Linked DNA regions of Saccharomyces cerevisiae S288C. The gene in region 2 interacts genetically with the main gene of each other region. Each region holds a gene or a part of one and is shown on either strand. Other genes may lie near its edges.

Evidence for each region.
Region 1: mutations in TCA17 (region 2) and MCO32 together harm fitness more than expected from each alone (negative genetic interaction), as found in Saccharomyces cerevisiae (one large-scale study listed by BioGRID).
Region 3: mutations in TCA17 (region 2) and SEG1 together harm fitness more than expected from each alone (negative genetic interaction), as found in Saccharomyces cerevisiae (one large-scale study listed by BioGRID).
Region 4: mutations in TCA17 (region 2) and YDR249C together harm fitness more than expected from each alone (negative genetic interaction), as found in Saccharomyces cerevisiae (one large-scale study listed by BioGRID).

Annotation. Positions count from the first base shown.
Region 1 is NC_001139.9:592,252-599,765, forward strand, and holds MCO32 (Mco32p), read right to left. Parts: upstream 3,587-7,514; coding exon 2,735-3,586; downstream 1-2,734. Other genes in the region: YGR050C (uncharacterized protein), read right to left, coding at 1-191; protein kinase FMP48, read left to right, coding at 1,345-2,454; YGR054W (translation initiation factor 2A), read left to right, coding at 4,442-6,370; MUP1 (Mup1p), read left to right, coding at 7,166-7,514.
Region 2 is NC_001137.3:63,299-69,570, forward strand, and holds TCA17 (Tca17p), read right to left. Parts: upstream 1,870-6,272; coding exon 1,411-1,869; downstream 1-1,410. Other genes in the region: seripauperin PAU2, read left to right, coding at 430-792; FRD1 (fumarate reductase), read right to left, coding at 2,087-3,499; threonine aldolase GLY1, read right to left, coding at 4,331-5,494. UniProt on the Saccharomyces cerevisiae protein: Required, together with the TRAPP II subunit TRS33, for TRAPP II complex assembly or stability, and for proper Golgi localization of TRAPP and the Rab GTPase YPT31.
Region 3 is NC_001145.3:436,876-446,622, reverse strand, and holds SEG1 (Seg1p), read right to left. Parts: upstream 7,416-9,747; coding exon 4,533-7,415; downstream 1-4,532. Other genes in the region: m-AAA protease subunit YTA12, read left to right, coding at 1-1,014; VBA1 (Vba1p), read left to right, coding at 1,521-3,209; PDL32 (putative ADP-ribose 1''-phosphate phosphatase), read right to left, coding at 3,242-4,096; YMR085W (uncharacterized protein), read right to left, coding at 7,834-9,132; YMR084W (putative glutamine--fructose-6-phosphate transaminase), read right to left, coding at 9,207-9,747.
Region 4 is NC_001136.10:955,383-963,137, forward strand, and holds YDR249C (uncharacterized protein), read right to left. Parts: upstream 4,421-7,755; coding exon 3,299-4,420; downstream 1-3,298. Other genes in the region: putative serine/threonine protein kinase VHS1, read left to right, coding at 631-2,016; YDR248C (gluconokinase), read right to left, coding at 2,376-2,957; PAM1 (Pam1p), read left to right, coding at 5,232-7,724.

The DNA.
Region 1 (7,514 bases), on a different chromosome or scaffold from region 2:
TGAGCCAAACTAAAACTGGGATCCGGATAAACTATTAATAAAGGATCGCAAAGTCCATACGCCAGTTTAATGGGAATGAAATGATATTGCGAAGTGACGTCAAGAATCGACTTTAAGCTATATCCGAAGTCAAGAAAGCCGAACCTTACATGCGGTCGGAAAGCAAACGAGGAGATTAGATTGGTTTTCATATCCGCTAAATTTTCTTTTGATTTTACTTTGGCTTAATCTAATGCATGTATATCGGAAGAAGCAACCGATCTGGCCCAGTTGAGTCGTGCTACCTTAGTCATGCCCAGGAAAACCGGATTCCTTCTTTTCATTATGACATCCGTTTAGGTCAATAGGCTTTTTTTTCTCTCGCCCGTGCCTCTCCGTGTTCGATGAATGTGCAGCTTGCCTCCGAGCGGGCGAGCCACCTCGAGCGGGTGACGAAATAGTGGAAAAGAAACGGGGAAGCAAAACTGTGCTGTTCTGGCCCGCAGCGGACGAACGTCATTAAAGGCGCTCCATTTCTGTCGTGAGGGTCTTTCGGTGCGGTGGTGAGGCTGCGTAAACAAGCTTGCTCTTCATACCCCTCCCGTGGAGCTAGTTCGGAAGGACTATTGGCGCATCTTCTGTTGAGAGGTTCCGTAATTCTCCGTAACGTCCCGTTCACCACTTTGCATGTGCTCTCACGTACGGCCGTCTCTTTTCGGCCTTCGGCCCGTTCCGATTTTTGTACCCCTTACGTGCTTTGAATTCTAGAAGGCATCTCCTCTCCGATGGCTTGGTACAGGGAGCACTAGGGAAATTGCACATGGAAGTATCTGGAATACAAAGTTTTTGAAAAGAAAAGCCGAGCGTAATATTGGGACAATACCCAGTTCTCAGCCTTTTCAGCGCGGGTATGAGACAGCTTGCAACAGGTAAAAGGAAGTTAGAAGGGTTAGGTGAAGGGAACGATGATGCTGCCTGAGAACAAAAATGCAGCTTCATGTTACATACAATAAAGGAAGGATAATTAAGGGGACCATGCAATAAGGGACAACTTAATTTTGGAAAAATCGGAGCTTAGTTGCATCTACCTACTAATACTTTCCCCAAAGAATAATAATACGAGTACAATACATATATATATATATATATAATATACACATGTAAGTGATGACTATTCTTAATACAAAAAAATTTCCCTTTTATAATAACTATTCTTAGCATTAAATAACCCGTTACTGACAAAAAGCATATAACATAGGACTCAAGATCGACTCTCATACCCTCCGAATCAAATTCTCACTCGTATACGCAATCATTTAAATAAGCACATCATTATCAGCATATACCGAATAATAAAAAGCAAAAATGTATACAAAACTAAGATCTATACAATCAGGAACATTTAGCACAGTTTATAAAGCATGGAGTACTACACATAACCGCTACGTCGCTTTAAAGATTACTCCTAAATACAAAACTTCAGAAGCCAACATGAAGAACGAGTATGATGTAATGAAGATTTTGAGTTCTTGTAATCCTCACCCCAACATCTGTTCGATGCTCGACTTTTACACGGATGACTCGTACTACATCATGGTGCTAGAATACTGCGAATGTGGTGATCTTTATGACTTTCTAGATATTGCTAAGAGTCAAGGTAGCCCGTCGTCTCCATCTTTGATTCAAATTGATATGCAAAAGATAATCAAACAACTGTGCTCAGCAATCAGCTTTGCTCACAGCTTGGGTATTGCTCATCGTGATATCAAACCAGAAAATATTTTGCTAACGATAAATGGTGACATCAAGTTGGCAGACTGGGGTCACGCTATCCAATCCCCTAAATCTAACGACTTCCAGATTGGTACCGATAATTACAGGGCGCCAGAAACTTTCTCTGGCCGCGTTAGTAACTCTTGTTTTAAGAAGAATTTCGATCGGTCATCGGCTCCATTGTATAACACATACCAAGCTGACTATTGGTCATTGGGTGCCACCATATTTTATCTGATGTTCGGCGATTGCCTTTTTAGAGTCTCCAAATCAAAGAAGGTTCAGCATCTAAAAAATTTCGATGAGTTTGAAAAAGATCCATTTGCATTCATTTACAGGAAATACGTAGTACCAAGGCTCTCCTGTGGTTACAATGATGAAGAAGACCTACACGTTAGCCTGCAGCATACGAGGCAGTACATATGGCAAGATCTACCCGACATTTATGATGTCTTCCATTTGTGCAAGATTATGGTTGATACCTTATTAAAGGTATCGAACGCTAAAGAGAGGTCGATGGAGAATTTCATCAATGAAGTTGATTCTGCATGGAACAAAGATAGCTCGATGGACAGCTGCTTCTCGTACCAAAATAAGATTGATCTGTTTTGGGAACAGTGGTCTGTGAACACGGAAACAGTACCAGCAAAGTTCCAATTGAAAAATTTTGAGAAACCTTGCCTAATTCAAGATGGAAAATAAGAAGTAAAAAAGACCTTTTGAAAGTTTCGCCTCATTTTCCTTGATCTGACTTTTTATCCCCTGCTTATCCAATTTTAGTTAGGAACTTTGGCATAATTTCAGTATTACATACTACCTAATCGACATAAAATAATATTACATATTCATTTTTTTAAAAAATAATCATAATCAATTTATCCTTTTTATTCCTTTTTTCTCCTGTGCAAGGTTGATGGTGATGTTTATGATGGTGTGTTTATTATTTACAAATAAAGATGCTATCTAATTCTTGTATATCGTATTAACATGCAAATGCACCGCGAGTGGCAATTTTCTTCTCGTAATGGATCAGTTCAACATCTTCAATGGTATGAACCAGAATTTTCGAATTTTCTTCGTTAAATTCGAATATGAATGTTCCCTTAATCAGCCGGGATAATCTCTTTTTTTTACTTCTTTTACCGTCGCCATCATTTTTCTTCTTCTCATCTTCTTTGGAATTTTGAGTTTCGTTGACCTTATTTTCCATTGACCTTTCAGCTGCATTTTCAAGGTACTCAGAGATAACACTTTGGTTCAAATTATTGGCTGTAGGATGTAAAATGTAGTCTATGACTGGTACCGACCTCATTGAAAATGAACCGCCTGCACCATTGCCTCGTTTCTCCTCTTTCAATCTGTCATTAATTTCTAATTTGGTAATCTTGCAATGGTCTTCCGGTATGCAGCTTTGCCATTTGATCACCAATTTGTCATTACATGTTATGGTATTATAACTCTGAAGAGCAGATTTAACTTCTTCATCATGCGATGTCGATGTTAGAGTCTTTACTGAACTTATATGCAAGCGACATTCATCGCCCAAGATAAACTTTCGTACTATCATTCGCATTGCATTCAAAGAAGCCATGTATTTTGATTTTCCATGTAACACTGGAATATATGGATGCGATGTTGGAAATAGTCTAAAAACAACGTTATCCGCCAACACTGACTCCTTGAACATTTTTTGTAACAAATTGGGAACACCTTTAACCACTAAATAATCTGTTATTTGCCCCAAATTGGCCACTTTTTGAGAATTGGAGTACCATCGAGGAAAGATTCCTTTGATAGATATTATGCCGGCTCTGCAAACACACTTTAGTAACATAAGTCTTTCCCCCTATTATCTATGAATATAAACTGTCTATCTTTCCTTGGTTGTGATGTATCGTTTTCCGTAGAGGCTTGCAGCTTTATGGCTCATACCTGTCATCCCTCTTTATGGGCCTTTTAAGGGCGCTCTCTACATTGTATTCTATTCATTTTTTTCGTAACCGTAACTACGCGCCTTCTTAACGCAAGGCGCTCGACTCATCATGAGATGCGTATGAATGTCTTTCAGTGTATAGAAATACATCTCACCAAATCTATTTATTTAACTAATATTTCTTTTAATATTTTCCTCAAGAAACTCAGGCAGTTAATGTTGTGTCCTATTTTTTTTAGTTCTTTCCCATTTTTATAGCACTCGTACAAAAGAAATCGAAATATTTCAATATGTTTAGACTCGGTTCTATGTGTTAAAACTGCAAGATGAAAAAGTAACATCTATCTTAGATTAAGGTCCTTTCTTTATATTCTTTACTTTATTAGTGAGCAGAAATATTATTAAAAATTGCCGCTGTCATACTGTACGATATTATTACCCGACCGCAGAATGTTCCTCAATACTTTCTTTTTCTTCCTTTTTTTCACTTCGCTTTCTTCATGTCCATCAATGAAATTTCAGCTTCATAGCGATTTATTTTCAGTGTACGTTATTCAATGAAGATTCCTTTTCCTCGATCTATCCAGACGACTAGACATAGCGAGAATTCTTTACGGTAGAAGCAACCTATAGATTACCGAATCATAACTTTCTTTAGTGTTGATTGAGACGTGTTGTGTTTAAACTATCCATTGCATCTCGATAAAAAAACATAGTACTACAACAAACAGTCAGGTTCAATAACACCTAAACATTATGTCATCTCAGTTTTTCCTGAAAACCTCTCAGGATATAGAGCTCTTCCAAAGCTACCCAACTTTTGAGCAATCCAACACAAACTCCAAGGATTTCCCTGTCATTTCCTCGGTTTTATCGCCATGTGGCAGATTTTTGGCTTTATCTACGAAGGAGAACGTCAAAGTTTTTACAGGTCCATGTTTGGATAACGTTCTATTAACAATGAAGTTGTCCGACGTCTATGACCTACACTTCTCTCCAGCAGGTAACTACTTAAGCACTTGGGAGAGAGCGTCTATACAAGACCCAAATCACAAGAACGTTAAAGTTTGGTATTTGAATAAACCATTTAAGAAAGATTGCGTTTCGGAGGATATAGTCCCTGCTTACGAATATCAAGCCAAATCCCAAAGCGGTTGGTTTTTACAATTCTCCAAATTAGACAATTATGGGCTAAGACTTTTTAAACACGACTTGAAGATTGTTAAATTAAGCTCCGCTAATGCCGACAATTTCGACTTCCAATCTCCGTTTGCTGTCTTGTCTGATGATGAAACGTCCCAACATTTCACCACCTACCTAATCTCTCCAGCTGAACATCCAACAATTTGTACTTTCACACCAGAAAAGGGTGGTAAACCGGCTCAATTAATCATATGGGCCCTCTCTGAAGGTAAAATCACCAAGAAAATTGCCTCCAAAACTTTCTTTAAAGCTGATTCCTGCCAATTGAAATGGAATCCATTAGGTAATGCTATTTTATGTTTAGCTATTACTGATTTTGATTCCTCAAACAAATCATATTATGGTGAAAACACACTATACTTACTGTCTTTCCAAGGTGTCAACGGGACTTTGGGTGGTAACTCTGTACGTGTTTCTTTAACCACTGGACCTGTCCACGATTTCACTTGGTCGCCAACTTCAAGGCAATTCGGTGTCATCGCTGGTTACATGCCAGCAACCATTTCCTTTTTTGACTTAAGAGGTAATGTTGTCCATTCATTACCTCAACAAGCCAAAAATACCATGCTTTTCTCTCCCTCTGGTCATTACATTCTTATCGCCGGGTTTGGTAATTTACAGGGCTCCGTGGAAATCCTAGATCGTCTCGACAAATTCAAGTGTGTGAGTAAATTTGACGCTACCAACACTTCTGTCTGCAAATGGTCACCGGGTGGAGAATTTATCATGACAGCTACCACTTCACCAAGATTGAGAGTGGATAACGGCGTTAAAATATGGCATGTATCAGGCTCTTTAGTATTTGTTAAAGAGTTCAAGGAGCTTTTGAAGGTAGACTGGAGGTCACCATGTAATTACAAAACTTTGGAAAACAAAGACGAAGCATTTTTCGAGAACCATATCATTAATAACTGGGAACCGCTACCTGATTCGACCACATCTTCACTTGATCCTAAAATATCCAATAAATCAGAATTGCAAATACATTCTAGCGTTCAAGAGTACATAAGTCAACACCCAAGCAGAGAAGCAAGCTCCAATGGAAACGGATCTAAGGCCAAAGCTGGAGGCGCTTATAAACCACCTCACGCAAGAAGAACAGGCGGTGGACGTATTGTCCCCGGAGTTCCTCCTGGTGCAGCAAAGAAGACCATCCCAGGGCTAGTTCCGGGCATGAGTGCCAACAAGGACGCCAACACCAAGAACAGGAGAAGAAGAGCCAATAAAAAGTCAAGTGAAACGTCACCTGATTCTACTCCGGCCCCATCTGCTCCTGCCTCCACAAATGCCCCCACAAACAATAAAGAAACTTCTCCAGAGGAGAAGAAAATAAGATCTTTACTAAAGAAATTAAGGGCTATTGAAACCTTGAAGGAAAGACAGGCCGTCGGTGACAAACTAGAAGATACGCAAGTTCTAAAAATTCAAACTGAAGAAAAAGTGTTGAAAGATTTGGAAAAGTTGGGTTGGAAGGATGAATAAACTAGAAGAAACTGATGTATCCATACAACTGTGTAAATATTAACAACGTCAAATAATACTACTTTGAATTGTTTTTTACTGTTTCCCAGGAGAATTACGCCAACCTCCCCCCTTTCTTTTTTTCCCTTGTTTTATTGTACTTTTCCACATATTTTTTTAACATCAAATAGTAATTGATACATACATAATTAGTGAGCATTTTCCTTATTTTTACGTCTCTTCTTGGCGGATTGCCACCAGCCGCATCTTACAATGTATGCCACGATACCGCCAGGCAATAAATGAATATGGAGTGTCACTTCGGCTCCGTAAGCCGGCGCTGCATCCGCCACCACAGTTTTTTTTAGCGTCGCTGTCGCCGCTTTGCCACAGAAAAAGAAAAAAAAAAAAGAAACGGCGCCGTGTAGGGTTTTGTATAACAGATCGGCCTAGCAGCCAGGAGATGGCACGGCGCCAACTGAAAAGTTAGACTGTGGAATTGCCGTTCACCACACTCGAGTGGCATCTAATAAACTGCCACAGTTGACTCAAGCGGTGCTACCTTCGCAGTTATTGCACACCATGGTAACACATAACACAGTCTTGCATTACAAATGTGGTTCCTCCTACTTGGCGGTGAATTTCTTGAGTCAGCCCGTTATTTTCATATGGTGATGTAAGATTACATACAGTATATATATATAAGGATGATTCTCACACAAACTTTTCCGCTGTTCATCATATTTTGTTTTTGGATTAGTTTCACATTCTGTAGAAATCTTTAAAGACAAGAGAAGAGAAAACAAAGGCGGAGCAATGTCGGAAGGAAGAACGTTTCTGTCACAGTTGAATGTCTTCAACAAGGAGAACTATCAATTTTCTTCTTCTACTACAAAAAAGGAAGTAAGTAACTCGACAGTGGATGCTGACAACGGTGCCTCCGATTTTGAGGCAGGCCAGCAATTTGCTACAGAATTGGACCAAGGTGAAAAGCAGTTAGGTATTTTGTCGTGTATTGGGCTTATCTGTAATAGAATGCTTGGTACCGGTGTTTTCGCCGTTTCCTCGACCATTTACACACTATGTGGGTCTGTGGGGCTTGCATTAATTATGTGGGCAGTTGGCGCCATTATTGCCATTTCTGGGTTATATGTATACATGGAAT
Region 2 (6,272 bases):
CAAGCTCCGATATCCCGTTTAAGGTCAACGCTTGAACAGTGGTTTCTGAACGAACACTCATATCATATTACTTCGACTCAACTGCTGAGCTAGCAGACTGGAAATATTTCAGGGACTCAAAAAAGGTTCAACTAGTCTCCACTGTAAGCACATTCTTGCATTCTGAATATACGAATGAGTATCATTAACTCAAAACCGCGCCCTCTTATACGAGACCTCCAAAAATGGATCGTTCATGAGTAAAGGCATCTCAATAACAATAGCAATAACAATAATGTTCATGAGGTGAAAGGTGGCCCCTCGTTCATGTAAGAGAAGCTGGCCGAGAAATTCATATAAATTGAACTGCTTTGGTTACCTCTCTTTGGTATATGCCTCCACTCTTCTCTTCCTAGTTAAGCTTATATCAGCACAAACAAAACAAATAAAATGGTCAAATTAACTTCAATTGCCGCTGGTGTTGCCGCCATCGCTGCTACTGCTTCCGCAACCACCACTCTAGCTCAATCTGACGAAAGAGTCAACTTGGTTGAATTGGGTGTCTACGTATCTGATATCAGAGCTCATTTGGCTCAATACTACTCTTTCCAAGCTGCTCACCCAACTGAAACCTACCCAATTGAAGTTGCTGAGGCCGTTTTCAACTACGGTGACTTCACCACCATGTTGACTGGTATTGCCCCAGACCAAGTGACCAGAATGATCACCGGTGTTCCATGGTACTCCAGCAGATTAAAGCCAGCCATTTCCAGTGCTCTATCCAAGGACGGTATCTACACTATCGCAAACTAGAGACAAACGCCAATTTAATGAAGGAAATGCTATGAAACTTAGATAATGAAATAAAAAAAAACCCTTTTTTTTTTTTTGGTAGTATAAATATCTTTATACGTACATACGTGAACAATCACATCATATCTGTCAATTCTCGTTGTAACCATAACCTAGCACTTATTTCAGACTTTCCAAAGGTCGCAGTATCTTTATGACGAGCCATCCCATGTAAAAATTGCCGTGCCGGATATGAAGTGACAAAGATCAGTCTATATCTCGGAAAGCCAACAAATATCTTCATTATGAAGTAACGTATAGTGATTGCTTCCACATCTGTTCAATTCGGACAATTTTCGTTAGCAGTAGAGTCAAAGCGATCGCCTTAATTGTCTCCGTATCTTATTTATTCATGAACAGCATGACAATTGACAGTCACTTGAATGAAGTAGAAAGTTTGATTGTCACGGTCATCTGAGATATACTACCGGCACCTGATCCCCGCTAATTAGGCAAGGCGAAACTGTCACCAAGTTGGACATATTAGACATTAATAACTTCTCTGAATCGCTCTCACTCCAAAGCAGTGACATTAAATTTTGCTTTCATTCGTGAAAGAATCGACTAATAAATTATCATTTATAATTCAACTTCAGTTGAAATAAACAACTCATCAAATTTTCTTTCCAAGCTTTTTATAATGGACTTTTCGTCACCGCTAACAAGTAAAGGATTACATTTGACACGTATATAGATTTTTCTTACGGTTTCGAAAATCTGATTGATTGCTTCAAATTCATCATCAGCTCCACTTAGGCTTTTTTGTTCAAATCCAATGACAATCTTCAGGCCCGTCTGCTTAATCAACATAGCAAATACAGAGACACCTTCCAATTGAAAAATTGACTTCAGAAGAGGTTTGGAATCTAAAGAATGCCATTCAACCAAAGCACTTTCAAAATAATCTAACGATATGTTAGAAAGCACGTTATATTTGAGTACATCATTCATCTCATTCTCCGCCTCATTAGGGACGTAAATCAATATAGGTTTATCAGATTCATCTATCAATGATACGAAGCAAGGCCTCAAGCTCATAGTTTGGTGATATAAACGTACAATTTGATTTTTGGAGAGAATATTTACTCAATTTTCAACTCAATAACTTTTATGTAAAATGTTTCTTGGCCGTCGATGAGCTCTTCCGGCAGAACTTCGAAAGTGAAAAAAAAAAAAAAAAAAAAATAATAATAATATTAATACTACTTATATACTATTAAAAAATCGTTTAGAAATGATTCATTTATAAAATTCGTTACTTGCGGTCATTGGCAATAGATTCAGCTGCGGTTCTCCCAAAGACAACGCATTCTAACAAACTTGAACCACCCAACCTATTGGCGCCATGAACACCGCCAGAAACTTCACCGGCCGCGTACAGGCCTTTTAGTAGCCTTTCGTCGTTCTTGCCAATGACTTGAGCCTTGACATTGATTCTAGCACCACCCATGGTGAAATGGACAACCGGTGTTACTTCACCAATAAAAACCACAGTTTCTGGAGTAACGTCAGAGCCAAATTCGTTGAGAATAACGGTACGTCCCAACGGATCAGCCTTGGTAGTGAAGGAAGAGTATGTTTGCAATTCCTCGCATAATTGGGCGACAGTGATTGGTAAATTATATTCAGAAACAACTTGAGATAATGTCAATTTCTGTACAAGTTTCTTGAACATGTAAAAATCTAAATTATTCTTCAAATCTGTGTACATTTTTTCGCCCATAACCAATAGTGCTCTGTTATCCTCTTGAGGACAAACCTTTTGAATAGCTGCAGTGACTACATCTCTTGTGGTCAATTCGTTGACAAATCTTCTACCGGTAATAGGGTTTAATAGGATACCACCAAGACCTCTTAAGGATTCGGCAGCCAAGAATTTCCAGCTTGAGCTACGGTCATTTGGATCAATGAACCCAGTTGGATGAACTTGAATTTGGTCCATGTCAATCAGATCAGCGCCTAACTTCTGCAGAAGCCTTTGACCATCACCAGTTGTTTGTTGCCCGTTTGTTGTTGGCAAGTTCACCAGTTCGGGTGCGTATTCTTTAAGCATTTCCTTAGAAAAGCCAAACCCTCCAGAACAAAAAACGACATCGTTAGCACTCACCATGTGCTTTTCGCCATTCTTGTCCTCGTACACTACAGCAGAAATGGAGCCATCCTTTTCATGGATGTCTACGACTTTACTGTCTAAGTTAATCTTAACTAACTCTGGTTTAGTCTCAGCTAATTTCTTCAAATTGTTAGATAAGGCAGAAACAATTTCGAAACCTGGAGGCAACTTCCCAGACGATCTGTGAGTTCTTGCCACAGAGTGGCCACCCAATTGAGCCAATAGGTCCAATTTCAAATCAAATTCGTTTTTCAACCATTCAATAGCCAGGGGAGAATCATTGGCCAACTTAGCCATTAATTCTTGGACACCTTTACCTTTAGCAGACTTGATGGTGTCATCTTCAAATAAGCGTGGGGAGTCCTCGATGTGGAAGTGACGTTGAGTCTCGGTGCAAGCACCGTTAATACCACTGGAGGCCTTGATAGAGTTCCCACCGATCGAGGAAGCCTTTTCGAGGATGGTTACAGGGATGTTATACTTGTTAACCAATTCATTGGCAGCAGCCAGCCCGGCCAAACCGGTTCCAATAACAACAACGGGAGAGAGAGACATTTACAATTACGGATGAGGGGTTGTTGAAGTGAAGATAAGAAAAAAAAATGGGGTGCTATGTCAGCGTATTGTTCTCAGCTTTTATACGTGCAATAGATTAAGCTGTTCAGGAACGCGACGCGTTGCCCCCGTTACCGTTTGAAAAGAAAAAAATTTTCTTTTTCATACCTGTCTCTATTGTTTCAGTCATTCACTGCATGATGACAAATGAAAGAAGAAAGACAATAGTAGTAAAAGCAAAAAAGGAATTAAAGTGAACGTTTTTTAGACTCTTACGCATACATATAAATATATATATATATTTGTATAAAAGGTGTACGTCGAAATCCTGTGAAGAAACCCTGCGAGAATATACATGGGTACATTCAATCTTAATACGTAGTATCGTAGAATACAAAGAAATGTGCTTCTCCACGTGGATACGTACCGTTGTAAACTTTAATCAAGTACCAAAAAAACCAAACATATTCAGTCGATCTCTCAATGGGGAACAAAGAAAAGAGGTTCTTACCTTTTTTTCCTCCTTCCCTCAGAAAGACCACCTTCGTCCCTCCATAATAGGGTAGTTAGTCGCTAGGTGCGCTGGAAACTAACCATTGGTTCTCAAATGTGCCGACATAATTAGTTATAATTATGGTGTGAGAGTTGAAATATCCTTGAATAACAAAACAGAAAAAAGAAAAAACCCATTTGAATATAAAAATCATTGATGCAAAAGAAAGCCGTTAAATCTACAATGCCACGAAATTATTGTAATGTATGAAAAAAAGGAAGAGGGTAGCAATCCTAAAACAAAAACCCTAACAATACACATGATGCAACTGGAACGCATCAGTATTTGTAGGTTTTTATTTCGCGGATAGCGTTGCCATCAACGTCGACCTCGGTGGATTCACTACGGTAAATCTGGGTAGGTCCGTTACAGTCGAAAGGATGTTCTTTAGCATAGTCGAAGGCCTCGGAGATGGCCAATTTGACTTTTTCCAAAGTATCTCTGGTGACTTGATAGTGGAACGAGACTCTACCACCCATTAGCTTAACGTTGTACTTCAAACCCTTCTTAACAAGGACATCTGGGTCCATTCTAGCGGCCTTCAGGTTAATAAAGACAAAGTTGGTGTCTGCTGGAGACTCTAGCGGGATGCCCTTTGCCTCACAATATTCGGCTAATTCATGAGCCAAAGAGTGCGAGTACAGCAATTGGGACTTCCAATCGTTGTTGATGTTTACAAGAGCCATTCTAGCCATCATACCAGATTGTCTAATACCACCACCTTGTTGTTTTCTGAAATGGGTGGCCTTCTTGACAAACTTAAGGTTCCCAACCAAGACGGACCCAATAGGAGCACCCATAGACTTGGATAGACAGATGGAGATGGAGTCGAAGATTTCCCCATATTGCTTTAATGGCACGCCAGATTGTGCAGCGGCATTCCAGATTCTGGCACCGTCACAATGTAGTTTGAGACCATTTTCCATACACCAAGCTTTGATGCGGACCAGTTCTTCCAATGGATAAACAATACCGTGTAAAGTGTTTTCCAGAGAAATCAATCTGGTGGGGGCACCGTGAATATCACCGTCGTCTGGGACGTAGTGTGACTTGATGTCTTCCAAGGTCAAGTAGTCACCGTTGGAAGGAACCACAGGAACCACCATCGCTTGAGACAAGATCGCCAGTCCAGCGGCTTCGTGAGTGTAAACGTGAGCCCTGTAATCACATAGAATAGAGTATGGAGGTTGCATCAAGTGAGTTCTGATGGCAATCTGGTTGGACAAAGTCCCAGAGACACAGAACAAACCTGCTTCTTTGCCAGCCATGCGGGCAACGGTCTGTTCGAGCCTAACGGTGTCAACATCTTCACCGTAGACAGCGTCACCGATAGAGGCCTCTAAAGCGGCCTCCATCATCTCTGCAGTTGGAGTGGTGAATGTGTCTGACCGCAAGTCGTTAGCAGCGGTGATATATTTTGGAGGCAATTCGAATTCAGTCATTGTGTTTATGTTTGCGTTTGTGTGCGGGAGTAAAAGTGAGTGTAAGCCTAGGAAAGGAGGTGGTTACGAACTAGCCAGCGGAAACAATGTACGTATATGTATGTAAGTATTACTCTATACCAGACAGAACAAGATAGACGAGAAGGACACATGGAGGATTTGACAGGCAAGCTCAACACTTGCTTATATATATACACATATGTGCTATTGCAAATGCAAAAAGCGTATATCCAGTGAAGAAAAAGACGAAAAAAGACGAAGAAATAAAAAGAAAAACCGGTGAACGAATATGGCAAGTGAAAAAGTGCGCAATGAGTAATACAAAGGGCGAAGCAGCGGGAAAAAAGAAACGGCGCTGCTGCCCGGAAACCGGAAGCGAAGCTTTGTGGGGTACGGGTGCATGCTCGGCTTTTTCCAGATAGGGGAAGTGCCGTCGCCAAAAAGGCAAGGGTCCGTTTCGCGTGACATTTCATAGCGGGCCAAGCGTGGGTCACGTGCTGCACAGGCCTGCCGCTGGCATGATTTGTCAGCACATATACAACAAGAAGTATTGGTTGCGTTGAAGAAAAAAAGAATAGTAATAACAATTTGGGGCCGTGTGTAAAAAAAATAGGAAACAGCTACCCCGGCGTGCCGTGTGGCTCTCTGTGCGAAGGAAGGCCCTGTCGCCGCACATATTCGATGAATATCGATGACGACGACTACCTTCTGGTTGCATAGTTTATTAGTCTGTGCCTGTTCTTCGGCGAGTGAGTAGATGAAAGAAAGAATGAGTTAG
Region 3 (9,747 bases), on a different chromosome or scaffold from region 2:
GTTGTTTTAGCTGGTACCAATAGACCCGATATTCTCGATAAAGCATTATTAAGGCCTGGTAGATTTGACAGGCATATCAATATCGACAAGCCCGAACTTGAGGGTAGAAAAGCCATTTTTGCTGTTCATTTACATCATTTGAAACTTGCCGGGGAAATTTTTGATTTGAAAAATAGATTAGCGGCTTTGACGCCAGGCTTTTCTGGTGCTGATATTGCCAACGTTTGTAACGAGGCCGCCTTGATTGCTGCTAGAAGTGATGAAGATGCAGTAAAATTGAATCATTTTGAACAAGCTATCGAAAGAGTCATCGGTGGAGTGGAACGCAAATCCAAGCTACTCTCTCCCGAAGAGAAGAAAGTAGTGGCTTACCACGAGGCTGGTCATGCTGTATGTGGATGGTACTTAAAATACGCAGATCCTCTTCTGAAAGTCAGTATTATTCCACGTGGCCAGGGCGCCCTTGGTTATGCACAGTATTTGCCAGGTGATATCTTCTTACTAACTGAACAGCAACTTAAGGACAGAATGACCATGTCTCTGGGTGGAAGAGTTTCTGAAGAATTACATTTCCCATCAGTTACAAGTGGCGCATCTGATGACTTCAAAAAAGTTACTAGCATGGCCACGGCAATGGTCACAGAATTAGGCATGAGTGATAAAATTGGCTGGGTCAATTACCAGAAGAGAGATGATAGCGATTTGACAAAACCATTTTCGGACGAGACAGGTGACATTATTGATTCCGAAGTATACAGAATCGTCCAAGAATGCCATGACAGATGTACAAAGCTGCTTAAAGAAAAAGCAGAAGATGTAGAGAAGATTGCTCAAGTACTACTGAAAAAAGAAGTTTTGACAAGAGAAGATATGATTGATTTACTTGGTAAGCGCCCTTTCCCAGAAAGGAATGATGCTTTTGATAAGTACTTGAACGATTACGAAACGGAAAAAATCAGGAAGGAAGAAGAAAAAAACGAAAAACGTAATGAGCCTAAGCCATCTACAAACTGATTGATATTTCACAATACAAAGAAATGGAGGAAGACTGTTCTACATATCTTGCTTATTTTATTGAAAGCCAGACATCTTTCTTTTTCGGTAGAACACTGTCACGTATTTACCATATAATCTAATCTGAAAACATGTAAATATATATACGTGTATAAATGCACCTATATCTATATATGATCAAAGCGCTTCTGTGAGGCTGTCATTGGTTAATACACGCGATCTTTTTTTTATCGCTGATTCCACGGCTTAGCCTATCTTATCTTCAGTATTCGCATGATACACTTTTTCACTGCGTCGTTTTGTTGGATGATATCTGTCCGACAATAAACGTAGGTCATCTTAAGGGCCGGTGATAGAGAAGAGCATGCGGTTCCACTTTAGGCCAACCCACATTCCCAAAATATAAGAATACAGCAGCGATTTTTTTCTATCGAATTATTTTGTTTTTTGTCTCCTCTTTGTTCTTCACTAAGCTCAGAGCCCTAGTTGTTGAGGGAACAAGAAGAATGCAAACACTAGACGAGACTTCAAATCTACTCCCTCCACCTGAGGAAGCTGAAGCCCCTCCCTTGGAACAAAAATTTCATGAATATAATTTGGCCTTACCTAAGTTTCCCATTTTGTTTTCGCTATGGTTGGGTAGTTTTTTGAGTTCCTTGGATAGCACTATTGTCGCAAATATAATGAATAGAGTTGCTGAGGAATTCTCTGAATCAAGTAAAAAGCAATGGATTGCGACGAGTTTTCTTTTGACAAATACGGCTTTCCAACCACTATATGGGAAGCTTTCTGATATAACAGGGCGGAAGTCAGCATTATTAACCGCTCAATTTTTTTTTGGCCTTGGGTGCTTATTAACATGTTTTGCCAGAAACGTCACGGAATTCTCAATAGCAAGAGCCATATGTGGTATTGGTGCAGGAGGATTGAATGCTATTAGTAGCATTGCTGTTAGTGACATATGTACAGCAAGAGAAAGGGGCGTTTACCAGGGATATGCGAATATTGTTTTCGGGTTTGGTCAATTACTAGGTGCTCCGTTGGGTGGTGTATTTATAGAAACCATTGGATGGAGGGCTCTTTTTGGTATCCAAGTACCCGTGATAATGTTGTGCTCGGTATTAGCAATCAAAAACATTAATATTAAGCTATTCCATGTTCCTCCTATGAAAGAAAGATATACCTTAAAGAATCTGTCACGGATAGATATATTTGGCTCATTAAGCCTGGTGGCGACCATTAGTGGAGTTTTATTTTTGTGCTCTAGCCAGTTGAACAAGTTGTATTTAGCATTGTTTACCATTGGTAGCTTTATTGTTTTTATCCTGGTTGAACGTTATTACGCGACTGAGAAAATTTTACCATTCGAACTATTGACTCGCTCATTCTGTTTGAGCTCAGCGGTAACGGTTATATCTTCATTTGTTGTATTTGGTGAAATCTTTAGGTCACCAATCTATTTACAATTGCTTCAAAATATTAGTGTAACAAAGACTGGCCTCTTTTTGATTTTCCCCTCTATATCAGTTGCAGTCGGATCATTGGTAACAGGATGGGTATTGCGGAATACGAAAATTAACCTAGCACACTGTGCATATCAAATCATTTTTGGTGGTATGATAATGCAGCTATTGGGTTTGGGATTGGGCTATTTCCTACTTTCACACTTGAATCCTGACTACACCATATATGATATGCTTGAGTCTATTACATTCAGATCTAACTCAATATGGTGGAAATTGATATATGTGTTTGCATCAGTCCTTGTGTCCTTTGGTTACGCTTGTCTATTAGTGGCCACGTTAGTAAGCATCGTATTCACCGTCGAAAAATCACAGCAAGGAACCATGACTGGTGTTTTCTATTTGTGGAGATCCATTGGTAACGTTCTTGGTGCCTCTTTAACTTTAGTGTCCTATGAGAATAGCCTGTCGTCCATGTTATGGAATTATATGTTCAAAACCAAGCGTGATGACGAATATCACTTCACCAAAAAGCAGTACTACTCCCTTATCAATGATTCGAGTTACTTGAGAGGGCCCAATTTTCCAACGGATATATTTGTTCGCATTCTTGATGTCTACAAAAAGGCATTCCTGATTTCCTATATTCCAAATATAGCCCTGGCAGCAGTGGGAATTGTTTTATCGTTATATCTGGTGAAACATACTTACAAACGTAGTTCAAGTTCTTGAAAAATTGAAAATAGACTTTATATTATATACCTTTATAAATCCAAGGTCAAAATCCTTCTAGGAATGAGCAATTCTATTGCATCTTTTTCTACATTAAAGGATTTCAGCATTTCGATATCTATTCCTAGTTTTTGGCACTCTATTTTGCAACTTTCCGGGAAAAAAGGTTCAAACGGATATTGCAAATAATACATGATCAGCACATTTTTCAATTCTTTGCTTATGTGATCTCCCGCCATATATAGTCTTAACGCAAAGGCCATACTCTTGCAACTGATAATGGGTGGTACACCTGCATACCCAGTACATAATCCAGGAATAATAAGACCATCAATGTCTTTTGGAGAATGCATCAAGGCATTCCACATGGCGTTGAAAACCGGTTCAAACCCTGTCTTGAGGGGATTCTGCGGATTAAATATAGGAGCTGATGGGGCTACAACGGTCGGAACATGAATAATATACCTAATACCATCTCTACATTCAATTGTTTTCTCTTCAAGACATCGCTGTAGGTCAACCACTGTAGCAGATCCGACCGTGTGATATCTTCCTCCAAGCTGATTCCTGAACCATGTTTCAAAGGGCTTTCCCCCGAAATAATTATACAAAGCTTTATCGAACCCTCCTCCAAGATAGCCATACGAGTTACCAGGTGAAACAATTGCGTAAGAGTGGCCATGATGGATTGCATCACCTTTACGCATTGAATCCATAAGAGATTGAAGGTGCCCATGATGAATACAAAGATACTTATCATTTTGAATATATGCATGGGGTATAGATTCCTGCCAGAGATTGGTAACTACTTCGTTTGTATCGCATAATATTATTCTCATTTTTTTTACCCCGTTCAAAAGTGAGTGTCTGTTTAAAGATCCTGTCATGATTATGAATGTCTGCAGTTTTCCCAATTTTCCCAGTTCAAAATTACGAAGATGGCTTGGTGGTTTAAGATGTATTATGGACCATTATACATAGGGGATTCAATTCGTAAAGTTTAACCGTTAATAAGAAACACCCACACCTGAAGTTTTTACGAAAATCAAATGCTTCTCTTCTGTTATTGTTTGCTGCTAGGAACACGTATAGGAACACGAATAGGAACACGAATATTTATTGTTCATCCGATTATATCGCCATTGATTGCAGTGGAAACGGCAAAAAAAAAAAAGCATATAAAATGGAGATTTCTTGATTATTCATTATTAAAAAATCCTTTATATGTTACAGTGCATGGAAGCCATCGTTCAGAAGTTGAACGAGCACGAAAAAGAATAAAATACATAACTTGTACAAGGAGAGAATTTCTGCCGAGAGTCCCTATTTCTTTCTACCAAAGATTTTTTTCAGTTTTTTGCCGAAACTACCCTTCTTTTCTTTTGTAACGCTGACTTCCTGTGCTTGTGGGAGCCTGCTTTCGCCGTTCTCTGGATTACTAGAGAAGCGTAACCTATTGGTCATCGAAGGGTTTGAATTTTTTGCAGGTTCAGCTTCACTGGCAGCTCTTAAAGATAACCCGCTGAATTTCTTGTCCACCTTTTTACTTGTAATGGCAGGATCGGTGGTAGTATGATTAGGACTTGAGACTCCAGGGGAAACCACATTATTTTCCTTTTGCTTACTTTTGCTCTTGAAAAGCGAAAAAGCACCGTTACCACCATTACTATTTTTGTTACCGCTGGTTTTATTGCCTTCTGTTTCTGTGTTGTATTTTGATGGGCCTTGGTTGAAAAATTGGGACTCATCTTCTGAGTCTGAATCCGCAAATCTTGATGAATGACCCAAATATTTGAAAAACTCCTGTGCTGTATCGGTTCGATTCACATTTGTGCTATTCTGGCTAGCTTGCCCATTATAGCTTTCACTCAATGCCTCCTCAAAATTACCATTTCTCAAAGAAAGCTTTTTAAATCCGAGATGGGATTCATTGCTTCTCGTCTTCTCAAAACTAGATTTGCGAGGAGGTGGTTCTTTGGGGTACAAAATACTATTCATGTCCTTCGTTGAAGGTTTATTGTTTTGCGCGATCTGTGATCCTCTCTTTATATTCTTATTGATTTGGTTTTTAGGTTTATTTGGGCCATTTGACTCATATACACTTGCGGGCTCTTGAATTTGCTGCGAATTTTTAGACAGAGAAGCCATAACCGAATTTCTTTTTGGTTTACCCTTCTCTGGGGTTCCTAGGGGTATAGCAGAATGGCGTTTATTGTTTATTTTCTCTGGGGGAGAAGGCGAATTTGATCTGATGCTTCTGAACTGGCCTACTGACTGAGGTCTTTTTATAGAAGATCGTTTTAAACTTGCTCTGCGTGATACGCTGTCGGACATCGTCATTTGAGCATTTAATCTCGTATTTTCAGCAGTCGTAAGAGACAGGTATGCGCCATTGGCGGGAGAGTTATCAGAGTACATGGATGAGTCATGGTTGGACGATCCTGACGATTTTTTAAGAGCAGATTTGATTGGTGTAACTACTTTCGTTACAGGAACCATAGGAGCTTCAGGCTTGTGAAACTTTTCTTGCTCAGCTTGTTTCGATTGGTTTTTTCGAGAAAGGTAGGTATTTGAGGTCCTTAAATACTGAGCCAAAGAAGGCGTTGGTTCTGTTTGATTAGAATGATCGGTGTTCTTGGAGGAATTCGACTTGCTCGTTTTCTGATCGCTTTCTTCTACTGTATCGAAGAATTCATCCTTAGTATCGCCAACATTCCCTTTTTTGGAAGAAGTATTAGCACCAGAAATTTTCTCACAACAATTGTCTGGCTTTTCAACTTTTTTTGAACTCTCGGTCCCTTCCAAGGTATCCTTCTCTTCTATTGAGCGGGATTTTTCATCAAGGTCTTGTGTGGGAGACGATGTTGTGTCATTCTCTAGATTTTTATTGCCATTTTCTGGTTTGGAGTTTTCAACTGATCCTTGGGCCGAATAACTGCCGCTAGAAGAAATGTTGTTCAGTTGTTCAACCGACTTGTCATCCACTTCGGCCTCCGGAAGAGGATGTTCTGCTACTGGTTTATTCCCCTCCCTCTTCTCTTCGTTGTCGTAATTAAAAGTTTTCTCAAGAGTAGATGCTTGACGGTTATTTTTTGGCCATTGTACATCGCCTTTTACAGTTTTTTCGCTTATGAAAACATCTTCTTGATCAGAATTTAAAGGTTTTTCCTTCCCTTTTTCTTCAATAAAACTTTCTAACTCAATGTTTTCATGTATTAGTTTGCTTAGATCATCTTTTTCAATGTTTAGTGAAGAAGGTTTTTCTAGATTATTTTCGCTATTGACTACTGTTTCGGATTCGGAAGAGTTAGAATTATCAAGTTTCAACTCTTGGTCTGTTTCTTCACGAACTTGTGTTTCAATGAGAGGAACATTTGAATTTATTGGATGTTTCTTGGCAAGATTTCTCTCCTGAACCGCCTTTTGGCCTTTTTTTGCTTGTGTACTTGATGTATTCCCTAAAGACGAAGTCTTCTTTGGTTGAGAATGTAAAGATTCCTGCGATACTTTTTTTCTTAAAAGTGAACCATTTCTTGCATTCAAGGCACTGTGGGCAGAGTTGGAACGCCTTAGCAATTTAGAAGTATTGGCATTGCTTGGTTTTTCAACGGGGACCTCAATTGCAACCAGCCCGTTGGGCCCAGGAATATACTTTCGCGTAGTCCTCAAAGGAATAGACCCGCTAGGATTTTCAGTACGGTGTTGTCCCGTTAAAATTCCTCTGGCCTGTGGTCCGCCAAAATCCTTGAACGTACGTTGAGCCTCATCATAGCTTATTCTTTGGTGTGTTTTGGACTTTTGACGTTGTAAACCAGAACTGTTTCTGCTTTGCTGACCTCTCTGGTTAGGGAGACTCGAAGTTCTATTGTGAGACCTAGTTTTGTGCTGCGGTTCCTTCGTTAAAGGAGAATTTAATGAATCTCCCTTCCCCATTGATGACCGTTGGGTAAGGCTGTTTATTTTCCCGGGACGACCTTTACCATCGCTCCTTCTAGATTCCGATGATATACTAGAAATAGAAGACATTCTTTTGGGGGCAGAAGGTTTTCTTAAGTTTGTCATCGAAGCGGATCGATAGGTCGGCCTTTGTTCGTTATCAGATTGATTACCCTTCTTCATTAATAATTTACCGATACTTGCTGCAGCTGCCACTGCTGTCGGGTCCGCCTGTTCCATTTCTGGTGCAGTTGTTCTTCTTCTAAACATTTTTAGGAACGAACGGCTGGTGATTTGTGGAATTGGTTGGTATGGCTACGTGTTGCTGTTGTGTTTTATATGTTTTTATCCAATTTGTCGGTAAAGTAAGGGAGCACTGAAAATTTAGCGAAGAAATGAATACTTCCTTTAAGGTTATCTATCGTCCTTTTTTGCATGTTGACCCTCGCGCCACACGGCCAGCCCGCTGCCGCAGTGAGCTAAAATTGGGCCTGCTTAGCGGCGACGCGACGGGATTTTGCGGATTTACTGTTGACGTTAAAAGATGTGGCAGTGACACCAATTGCAAGAGATTACCTTGACCAATAATTAAGTTATTTGGCTATAGAGTGTGAACATCTATTCTACATACTGCCCAAAATATAAGTACTTGTTTTAATGAAATTAGAAGGAATTAAAGAACACTTTTTTATATATCCGGGGCCGACATCGCCGAGTCCCTTGGCAAATCAACTCCGATGTCTTTCTTGATCGCTAACCAGTAAGAAATTAATTGTAAAGGAATAACGTTAAGTATCCCTTGGAGACAATCTACGGTTTGGGGTACCTCGAGTGTAACAACGTTTCCTTTTTGTTTGTCTTGCTCCCATATCTTATGCCCCTTGTTACAAATGATAATCGGATTGCCCTTCCTTTCTATTATTTGGTCAATGCAAGACGCGATTTTGGGCGAAAAAGCATCCTTTGTCGCAAAGGCGATAATTGGCGGATTATCAGATGCCACAGCTAGGACTCTGTGTCCTAGCTCGTTGGTAAGAATACTTTCAGAATGCACGTAAGAAATTTCTTTCATCTTCGAGGCGCCTTCCAAAGCAGAGGCAAATTGGTAACCTCTTCCTAAAAGCAAAAATGTATCATGCTGTTTTAGTTTCTTGTCACACAATTCAATAATCAATGGTTCAAGCTCCAAAACTTCTTTTATTTGGCTTGGGACTATAGTTAAGGCTTGAATTATTTCTTTCCTCCTTTCTATTTTAGACACCAAATCTTCCGACATCCATAGGGCAATCATGACTAAAGCGATGTATTGAGAAGTATAAGACTTGGTTGTTGCAATACCTTTCTCGGGGCCTGTGTTTGTATGAACACCGCAATGTGTAAATCTTGAGATAGAGGAACCGCTGCAATTAACTACCCCGATTGTGACTGCCTCTTTTTTGATACAGTAGTTCAAAGCATTAATTGTATCAGTTGTCTCCCCACTTCGAGAAACAAATATGCAAACATCGTTCCTGAAAATGCAACAATTGCGGTCAACAAAATCCAAGGCCAATTCAACGTTTACTGGAACTTCCATTAACTCCTCAAAGATGGGACGGGCAGCTAGGCATGAATGGAAGGAGGCCTTGGATGCAATCATTATTATTCGTTTTGCTCTTCTCAATTCTGTCAACCAATTTTCTAGTCCTCCCAAAACTACTCTGTTTGTAAAGGCGTCAACTCTTCCTCTCATGACATTTTTTGTTGTTTCACACTGCTCGTATATTTCCTTTTGCATAAAATTATCGTAAGGGCCTTTTTTGATTTTGGACAACTCCAATTCTAATTTTTGAACTGTTCTAAATGAAAAGTCCTCGGAACCAATTTTAGAACAATGGATATGAAGCTCCCCATCATAGATATGGGCAATATCATTATCCTCCAAATATACTACTTTACTCACATACCGCGCTAGTGATGCACAATCGGATGACAAATAGAATTCCATGGGTCGCGGCAAGCCGTTCTCGGCTGGCGTTTCTGTGGATGAGCCATGATTGAATGTAGAAGTTGTAGAGTTTCTCAGGTATTGTGAACGAAGGGGGGTGACTTCCTTAAACAAGTGTTATATTTTACAGGTGCGGCAGCCAAGACATTACCAGAACTCTTGGTTTGAGTATTAAGCTTCAAGTAGTCTTCTTCTTGATCCAAATATTCCACCTCGACAAAGTTTACGTCCATGTCAGTTTTACCTTTAACACCAATAACTAACGGGGAACCCTTTCTTGCGGCAACCACTTCATCGGGAAAATGAGAAGAAGTGCATAGCAGACCATAAGAGCCTTCCAATTCTTTAAGTACTAAATTTGTTAATACATGGAAATCGAGGTTGTACCCGAGTTCAATGCTTGTATCATAAATGTGTTTGTACAGTTTAGGAATACATTCGGTATCAGTGTCACTTTTGAACACATAGCCCTTTGCCATCAATAAGGCTTTCAAATTAGCGAAGTTGGTAATAACCCCGTTGTGTACCACAACAAATTCATTAGATGGATCTGAGTTATGTGGATGACAATTTGCACGTCTTAGCCCTCCATGTGTTGCCCGCCTAGTATGGGCA
Region 4 (7,755 bases), on a different chromosome or scaffold from region 2:
CGTTAAAGGGACCAAAACGTGGGGAAGGGATGCCGCCACCACCACCGCCACTACCCCCGCCAACATGGCCTAACTTAGCAGTCCTCGCTTGTGTATCTAGGTCCGCGTCCGCTAATTCGCGCGGCTTGCCACTTAACCCCGTCCAGTTAATTTGCCAAGCAGCGGCCGCACGTTGGAACGTTTTCGCCGATTTATTTATTATTATTTATACATGTTGACGTTGGTGCCCTTTTGTTTATACTGGAGCCTAAAACGTACCTCAATTAAATTTAGTGTGCCATATTATAGTGCTATTAAACCTTTATTTTTATTTTTAATTTTAAAACTGCTTTGGTTCTCTCCCTCCCTTACCGTTGCCACCTTAAGACTCACTGATATTTATTCATACTTACAAGTGCTATAAGAAAAGACTTGATTTATTAGCTTTACAGCGTTTTTACATTTGTGTCACTGCTATTATATTTTTGTTTACCTCTTTTTGTTGCTGGTGTTGGCGCTACCATTGTTTTTTTGTTTTATGAGTTACGTTTACAAAAGTTCTTAACATTTACTGTACGATAATATACTAAGGTGAAATACTAAAGTAAAATAAAATAAGAGAAAGAAAAAAAAAAAAAAAAGAAAAAAGTAATGATGATGTTCCATAATTGCAGAATTAATAACTACTTAATAACTTCTCAAATTGGCGAAGGCGCGTACGGTCTGGTTTACCGTGCCTTAGATATTCGTACCGATAGACAATACGCTATCAAAGCGGTTGTTCAAAGTTACGGTGTTAGCAAGGAGGCTGATATGGGCAATGATAAAATACACAAAAATAGCGTGAAATTGCAAAAGAAGCTCGCTAAACTGTTCAAGGAATCGAAAAACGTTGTCAGGGTGCCCTCTATAGATCTAGAATCAATTGAGAATATGTCAGAAGAAGATTTTAAAAAGCTGCCCCATTATAAAGAGATTTCGCTACACCTAAGAGTCCACCATCATAAGAACATTGTCACCATACATGAGGTGCTACAATCTGCAGTCTGCACGTTCATTGTCATGGATTATTACCCAACAGACCTATTCACGTCTATTGTAGATAACAGACATTTTGTCACTAATGGACTGCTAGTAAAAAAGGTTTTTCTACAGATCTGTTCTGCTCTTAATTATTGCCATGAGCACGGCATCTACCACTGTGACATCAAGCCTGAAAACTTGCTACTGGATACAGAAGATAACGTTTTCCTATGCGATTTTGGTCTATCCACTACTTCCACATATATAAAGCCAAATGTTTGCATTGGTAGCTCGTATTATATGCCCCCTGAAAGAATCTCATTTGATGGGAGAGTTTCCAGCTCTAAAAGTGGGGGACATAAGTTGGGTAAGGTTTGTCCCTCATGTAATGGCGATTTGTGGTCATTAGGTATCATCCTTATCAATTTGACATGCATCAGAAATCCCTGGCTGAAGGCTGACAAAACCGAGGATAATACCTACTATTATTTCACTAAGGATCCCAATATACTAAAGCAAATCCTACCGCTTTCCGATGACTTTTACTCATTATTATCTAAGATTTTACAAGTGAATCCGAAGAATAGAATGAGCTTGCAAGAGTTGATGAAAGAAGTTAGTTCTATTACAAGCTTCACCAATGAAGGCCCGTTATCAAAAGTGCCGCCTCTTTCCAAGTCTGTTTATGAAAAGTTCGTTAGCCCCGTCGATAACACGAATGAGAATTTGTCTCCAAAATCCTACGTGTACATGCACGATAGTAAAGCTGCCAAGAATTTATCTTATACATCTTCAAGTGAGGAAGAAGATGGAATCAAAGAAGGGATAGACGATGATAATGGCAGTCGCAGTGGCAGTTTCGGAACGCTAGACACAGACACTGGATTGCATTCTTCGTTCACAAGCACTTCTTGCGAGTCCGATAACGAATGTTCTAAGATTTCCAACAAATTTTCCTTGTTCGAAAAAAAATTCAACGAACTTCGCATGAGTTCCTCTTCTTTAACTAACTAACCCCCTCCTTTTTGGCACAAAAGTGTACTACACATCTGTTTTAAGCCCACAATTGATAGACCTTCTCTTGATGATCATCTGTTTTCCCGAAAATATTACTTGCCAAAGCAAGTTGTAGTTATATTCACACTTCCGTTATGACCCCCTCATCCGTTTAATGTTATTTGTTTTTATGGTATTCCCTTTATTCATTTTTTTTCTTGCTTTTTTTTGTTGATCCCTGTAACCCCTTTTTTTTTTTTGGAAGTTGCTATTATTATTCATTCACATTTGTTCTGTCTTTGTTAATTTTCCAGGTCACCGTATTTAATTTCTATATAACTGTTTCTAATATTTACTTCGTTTTATCCAAGCGTTATTTACTCAATATTCAAAACTTTACTTTTTACCACCTGTATAACATCTTTTTCAATTTGATAAAACGTTTTGAAATCTAAGGGAACAATGTCACAGTCAGTTTCGTCGTTGATGTCTGGTAACTCCAGATCCCTGAATTGAGACTCCATCATATCAGCTTTCATGAAATGACCCTTCCTTGTTTTGAGCCTTTTCAGAACTTCTATTTTACTTGCATACAAAAAGATAAAATGGAACTCCGATTCAGGGCATGTGTGCCTAATCAAATCTCTGTATTTCTTCTTCAAGCTCGAGCAAGCAACAATTGACAAATGCTCCTTAGTGCTTGCTGCAGCTTTTGTAGATTCTACGGCAACTTTTTTCAACCAGTCCCAACGGTCGTCGTCATTTAATGGAATCCCTCTTGTCATCTTTTCTACGTTGGCAGGCGGGTGTAAATCATCACCTTCGATGAATTTCAAATCCGGGTATATATCTTTAAATTCATGGATTAGTTCACCTGCAATGGTTGATTTTCCTGTACCTGCAGTACCTGCCAATACAATAACCTTAAATTTCCCCATAGTTTTGTGTTTCTCTGTCATCAACTGCGTTGTCCATCCATACGCTTACTGAGACACTATGAAAGCCTGTTTAGTCTTCGGAAAGCTATTTATTGCTTGCTACTTGAAAACCTTTTGATTATCGATATTTTTTAACGGGACCTTATATAATTATTGCTTGGAAACTAACGGTGTTATAATTTTTGACAAACTAATTAGCGACGTAATGAAAGCAGAAAAACCGCAAGAATATGAGAAAGGGAAAATATCAAAGAAAACAAAATATATTCCTTATATAACACCATCTTTTGTACATAAATGAATTGGCAAGCACATATTGTGCATGCATGCAAGGGGCAGAATCTTAATACTAAGTAATTTAATTATGCAAACATAACCCCGTATTGAGGCCTTCCGCCGCATTTAACGACCAAATCTATGAGTTTTAAATCAGACACCCGCCTTAACAGGTCCCATATAGTGCTATCAGATAAAAGTTCGTTTTCTGTCAATGATGGATTGTAATAATATTTCAGGATAAATTTCTCTATGAGCTGTAATCTTGATCTATTCTGCAAAAAAAACTCAAAGTTCAGACTCCCTAGTGAATCAGCATACGTGAAATATAATAAAAATATTACAGTCGTAAGGGGTTCAATAGACGCTAGTTTTTGCACTGTAGATCCAGAGACGTATAGGATTAAATCTATTGATTCAAATAGAGAAACAAAGGTAAACTTAGGGCTTAGGTCAGTTCCTTGCATATCAATACCTTGAAAAAACCATTCTATAAAAGGGGATATCACATCATATGGATTCTTCAAAGTAAAATGATTACCTAGAGACTTCACACATTCCCTACGTGTTAAAAAAATATGCATATTGTTGTAAAAGTTTTTAGGGAAGTCTTCTTTCGATGTATCTTCAGTGTTCATTGAACACAAGTCTAGCTCTTTAGATGTATCAAAATCGCCATTCTGCATATCTTGATAGTGCTTTCTGGGAAGAAAATGAGAAATATTTTTCAACAGGATAGGATGATGATCTAGTAGTAGTCTAAAAAAAGTTTCATGCTCAAATAATGTAGGGATCACAATATTTCTTGAATAAGCTTTTATATTACTTACGCCAAACTCCAGGGGATCGAAAAGATATTTTTCCCACATGATCTTCGATAATAATGAAAAAGATGGCTTCAAGCAACTATAGAAGAACCTGTTCAAGGTGACCATCGACGGTTCACCCTTTGTGAAAACGAAAATATGTTGAATAATCTCTACAGGTAAATCTTGCAAAGTTAGCTTTTGATGATGCCTAAGTTTCTTCGCAGGAAGCCTGATAGTCCTTTGATCTTCCGATATTGGCCTCTTGGATGAAACCCGGGTCTCTAAGAGATGCACATGGTGCTGCAAGTTTATCGAAGACGATGCATACCGATGCAAAGGAAGTGCATGTTTCTTTCTCTTATCATGACGGCTAGAATATCCTGTCAAAATATAACCCATGGCCACTTATTCTAAAAATACACTGCGTGAAAAAAGCACTGCTTACTTTAACAACATTAGTCCTCTTTAAATATATTTCATTACTCATCGCAAACTGAACAATTCTTGATGCTTAATTCTTACTAGCTGCAAAAAAGACAAGATGAAACGCGGTGTATGGTTGGACGATATAGTCTTATCCTAAATACACACAACATATATTGCGTAATAAAGAGATCTTCCTATCTATAGCACAATTTGAAGTTGAAAAGGCGTATCTAAAATGCTAATACTAAACAAGGCATCATGTTTTTGTCCCATTCACGTAGCACTGGCGATTTGCTTCCATATTCTTCTGTGTACAATAATAGCTTGGGTGGCTTTTTTCACAATGGGCTCTACGCGAAATTGTCGCAGCCCCCTGTTGGCCGTGCTGTGGGCCATTCTCGAGACTAGAATGAAACAGAAATCTACAAACATGAAAAGGTAGAGTAAAGTCGAGTAAGTAGTAGAAAAGAAAAGTGATATTGGCATACACGATAGCGAAGTTGTTCATATCTATTATCACCAGGCCATTCATTAAAAACTTACCGCTAAATTGAAAAAGAGGCGACTGCCAACATACTTGCCCTTTTTTTTTTCGCTATTATTAGTGTCCTTTGATTACAAACTACATCCATTCGAAAAGCTTGTAACCAACACTAAAGTCTGTGATTCTACCCAAATATTTGCTCTCCGTCATTTCTATTCTGTTTGAACTACTGTGCATATATTTTTCTTTTTGTTTCCTACATTTTATTCCCGGCATATCTCGCGATAGGTATATTGAATAATGACATCTGCATTAAGGGTTTTGGTATGCGGAGATCACCCAAATCTCATTCTGTACACATCCAGGTTTCAACATGCCAAAAATATAGAATTTTATCTTGTGAACAACTCAAAAAATGCCAACTACGAGGTTAGTTCACTATTTTATGGGACGGAACGGTTTCAGATTCAAAACCATTTCCAATCGCTCCTAGATTTAGTAGACCTTAATAATGAAAATGGTGGCTTGGTATTCGACTTGATAATAATGAGTGCGTCTTCACTGCAAGAAATCCCGCAGGTATTGAGAGATATAAAACCTATGATGAATAAGACAACAAAGATACTATTTGAAAGTAGCGGGTTTATATATTTGGAGCCATTCATCAAGGCTTCAGTTGATCTTTCGCTGTCAAATATTTTCAGCATTTTCACCGATTATGACATAAGACGGTTGGACAATGGCTCATACAAACAGTTCACGACTGCAAATGCCAAATCCTTTTCTGTTTCGATCGGTCAAACGACATCCGTTCACGAAAACAGCTATTCAAGTGATATTATTCCTATTTTGAATACATTTCAGAAATTGTTCCAAAAACTGTTTCCTAGGGACGTTGTGACTCTTTACGATCATTCTCCCTCCGCTTTCTTGGCAAAAGAATGGGAACTAGCTTTGCCTCAAATATGTTTCGATCCATTATTAATAATATTAGAAGAGAAGAATCCATCAACCTTGGATGACCACGTTTTGGCCAAACCTCTTATTTCAGGTTTACTAGGCGAGAGCTTATTAATAATAAAAAAAATGGGTATAGCCATGAACAATCCAAATTTTCAAAATGAACAGACTATATTGAAACATTGGAAGAATAAGTGCGAAGACTTACCTGATGGGCCGGCACTTTTATATAATTTCATCCATAAGGCTTCATCTTTGAATATTGACTTATTGTTATTACAGCCGATATTATTAGCAGATGACTTTGGCGTGAAGACACCATATTTAGAATGTTTGTTTACAATGATGACTCAATATCAATTGTTAAATAAAGGTGATTCTGAATGGTTTATTAGAAAGGATGAGAACACAGCGTTAACTCGCGTTGATGATTTACAAAACAGTATCGCACTTAAAGATGGAAAAATCATGCAGCTGCAAAATTCGGAATCAACCCTGAAAAATGAGATAAAAGAACTTCAAAGTCAAGTTTTGAGCTTAAAACAAGAAGTGTCCTCAAGTAAAGCAAATAATGGACAAGAGTTGGAAATTTTAAAGAAGAAAGTGCAAATGGGAGACAATTCATTATTTGATCGCCCAAATAGTAATACTAATGGTATATCTCCCTCTGATAACATTGTTGATGTTGATTTAAATTACGAAAGGAGTGACCAAGGTAATAATAGTAGTGGTAATGATAGCAGAAGACAATCTTTTTTCAACTCCACATCTGATACAACATTATCCAGAGATGAAACCTCGTTGAAAGAGCGTGAGTTAGAAGTACGAATGAAGGAATTAGAACTTCAAGAGCGTGAGTTAGAGTTACAGAGAAAAGCCCTCCAGCAACAACAACAATATCAACAGAGACCGCCTAAGCAAGTATACTCCGGTCCTTCTGGTACACCAACCAGCGGCAATAACAATAATAAAAGTTACAATCCAAATAGAAAATCTTCCTATAGTCAGCCTCAACATGTGGCTATGATGACCAGCAGAGGTCTACATGGTCCTAGCGCTGCAAGCTCTAGCCCTGTCATTTCTGCCAACAATTTTGTTGATCCAGTTTCTTCTGGGACGCCATATAGCAGCAATAGTTCTCGATTTAGTCAGCAAATTCCATCGCAGCAATACATGCATACTGTTAAGCCAACGAGTAGAAAAAACAGAAGTAGTGTCATGCCTAATATAGGTTACGTCCCAGGGCTAACCAATAACGAGTATGGTAGAAAGTTTAACGGTAATGGTATGAATGGTACCCAAAGCCGTCTGAATTCACTTTCAAACCAAAGTACGTTTAGATCTCAACAGGGTCCACCGATAACACAGCAAAAATCGTTTCAAAATAACGGTGGTAGCATGAGGACAAATCGCATACCATCTGCAAATTACAATATTTCAAATCAGCAATCGGGTTTTGTTAACTCTATTTCAAGTCCAAATCTAAGCAATTTGGAGAATAGAAACACAGTACAAAACAGTAGAAATGCGGATTCTGCTCCGTGCGTTAATCAATTGAACAGTGACTCTCCGCCCCAATTACAGTCTCTATCTCAAAACGGTACCTCAAAAGTTCCTCAGATCAATATTACGCAACCATCACCAATTCAGACCAACTTTGCTACGAGTGATAACCCTGCTGCTGTAATAAAACTAGGGACACCTTCTGAAGATACAGTTTCAGCTGCGGCAACAGCCAATAATATAAGTACAATGGGAGATGAAAGCCGCAAAGAGGACGTTAAGGAAAAAAAGAAGAAAAAGTTCAGTTTCTTTGGAAAAAGGAAAAAGTAACAAATACGCGAGCCCTTGTCTTTCCAATCCA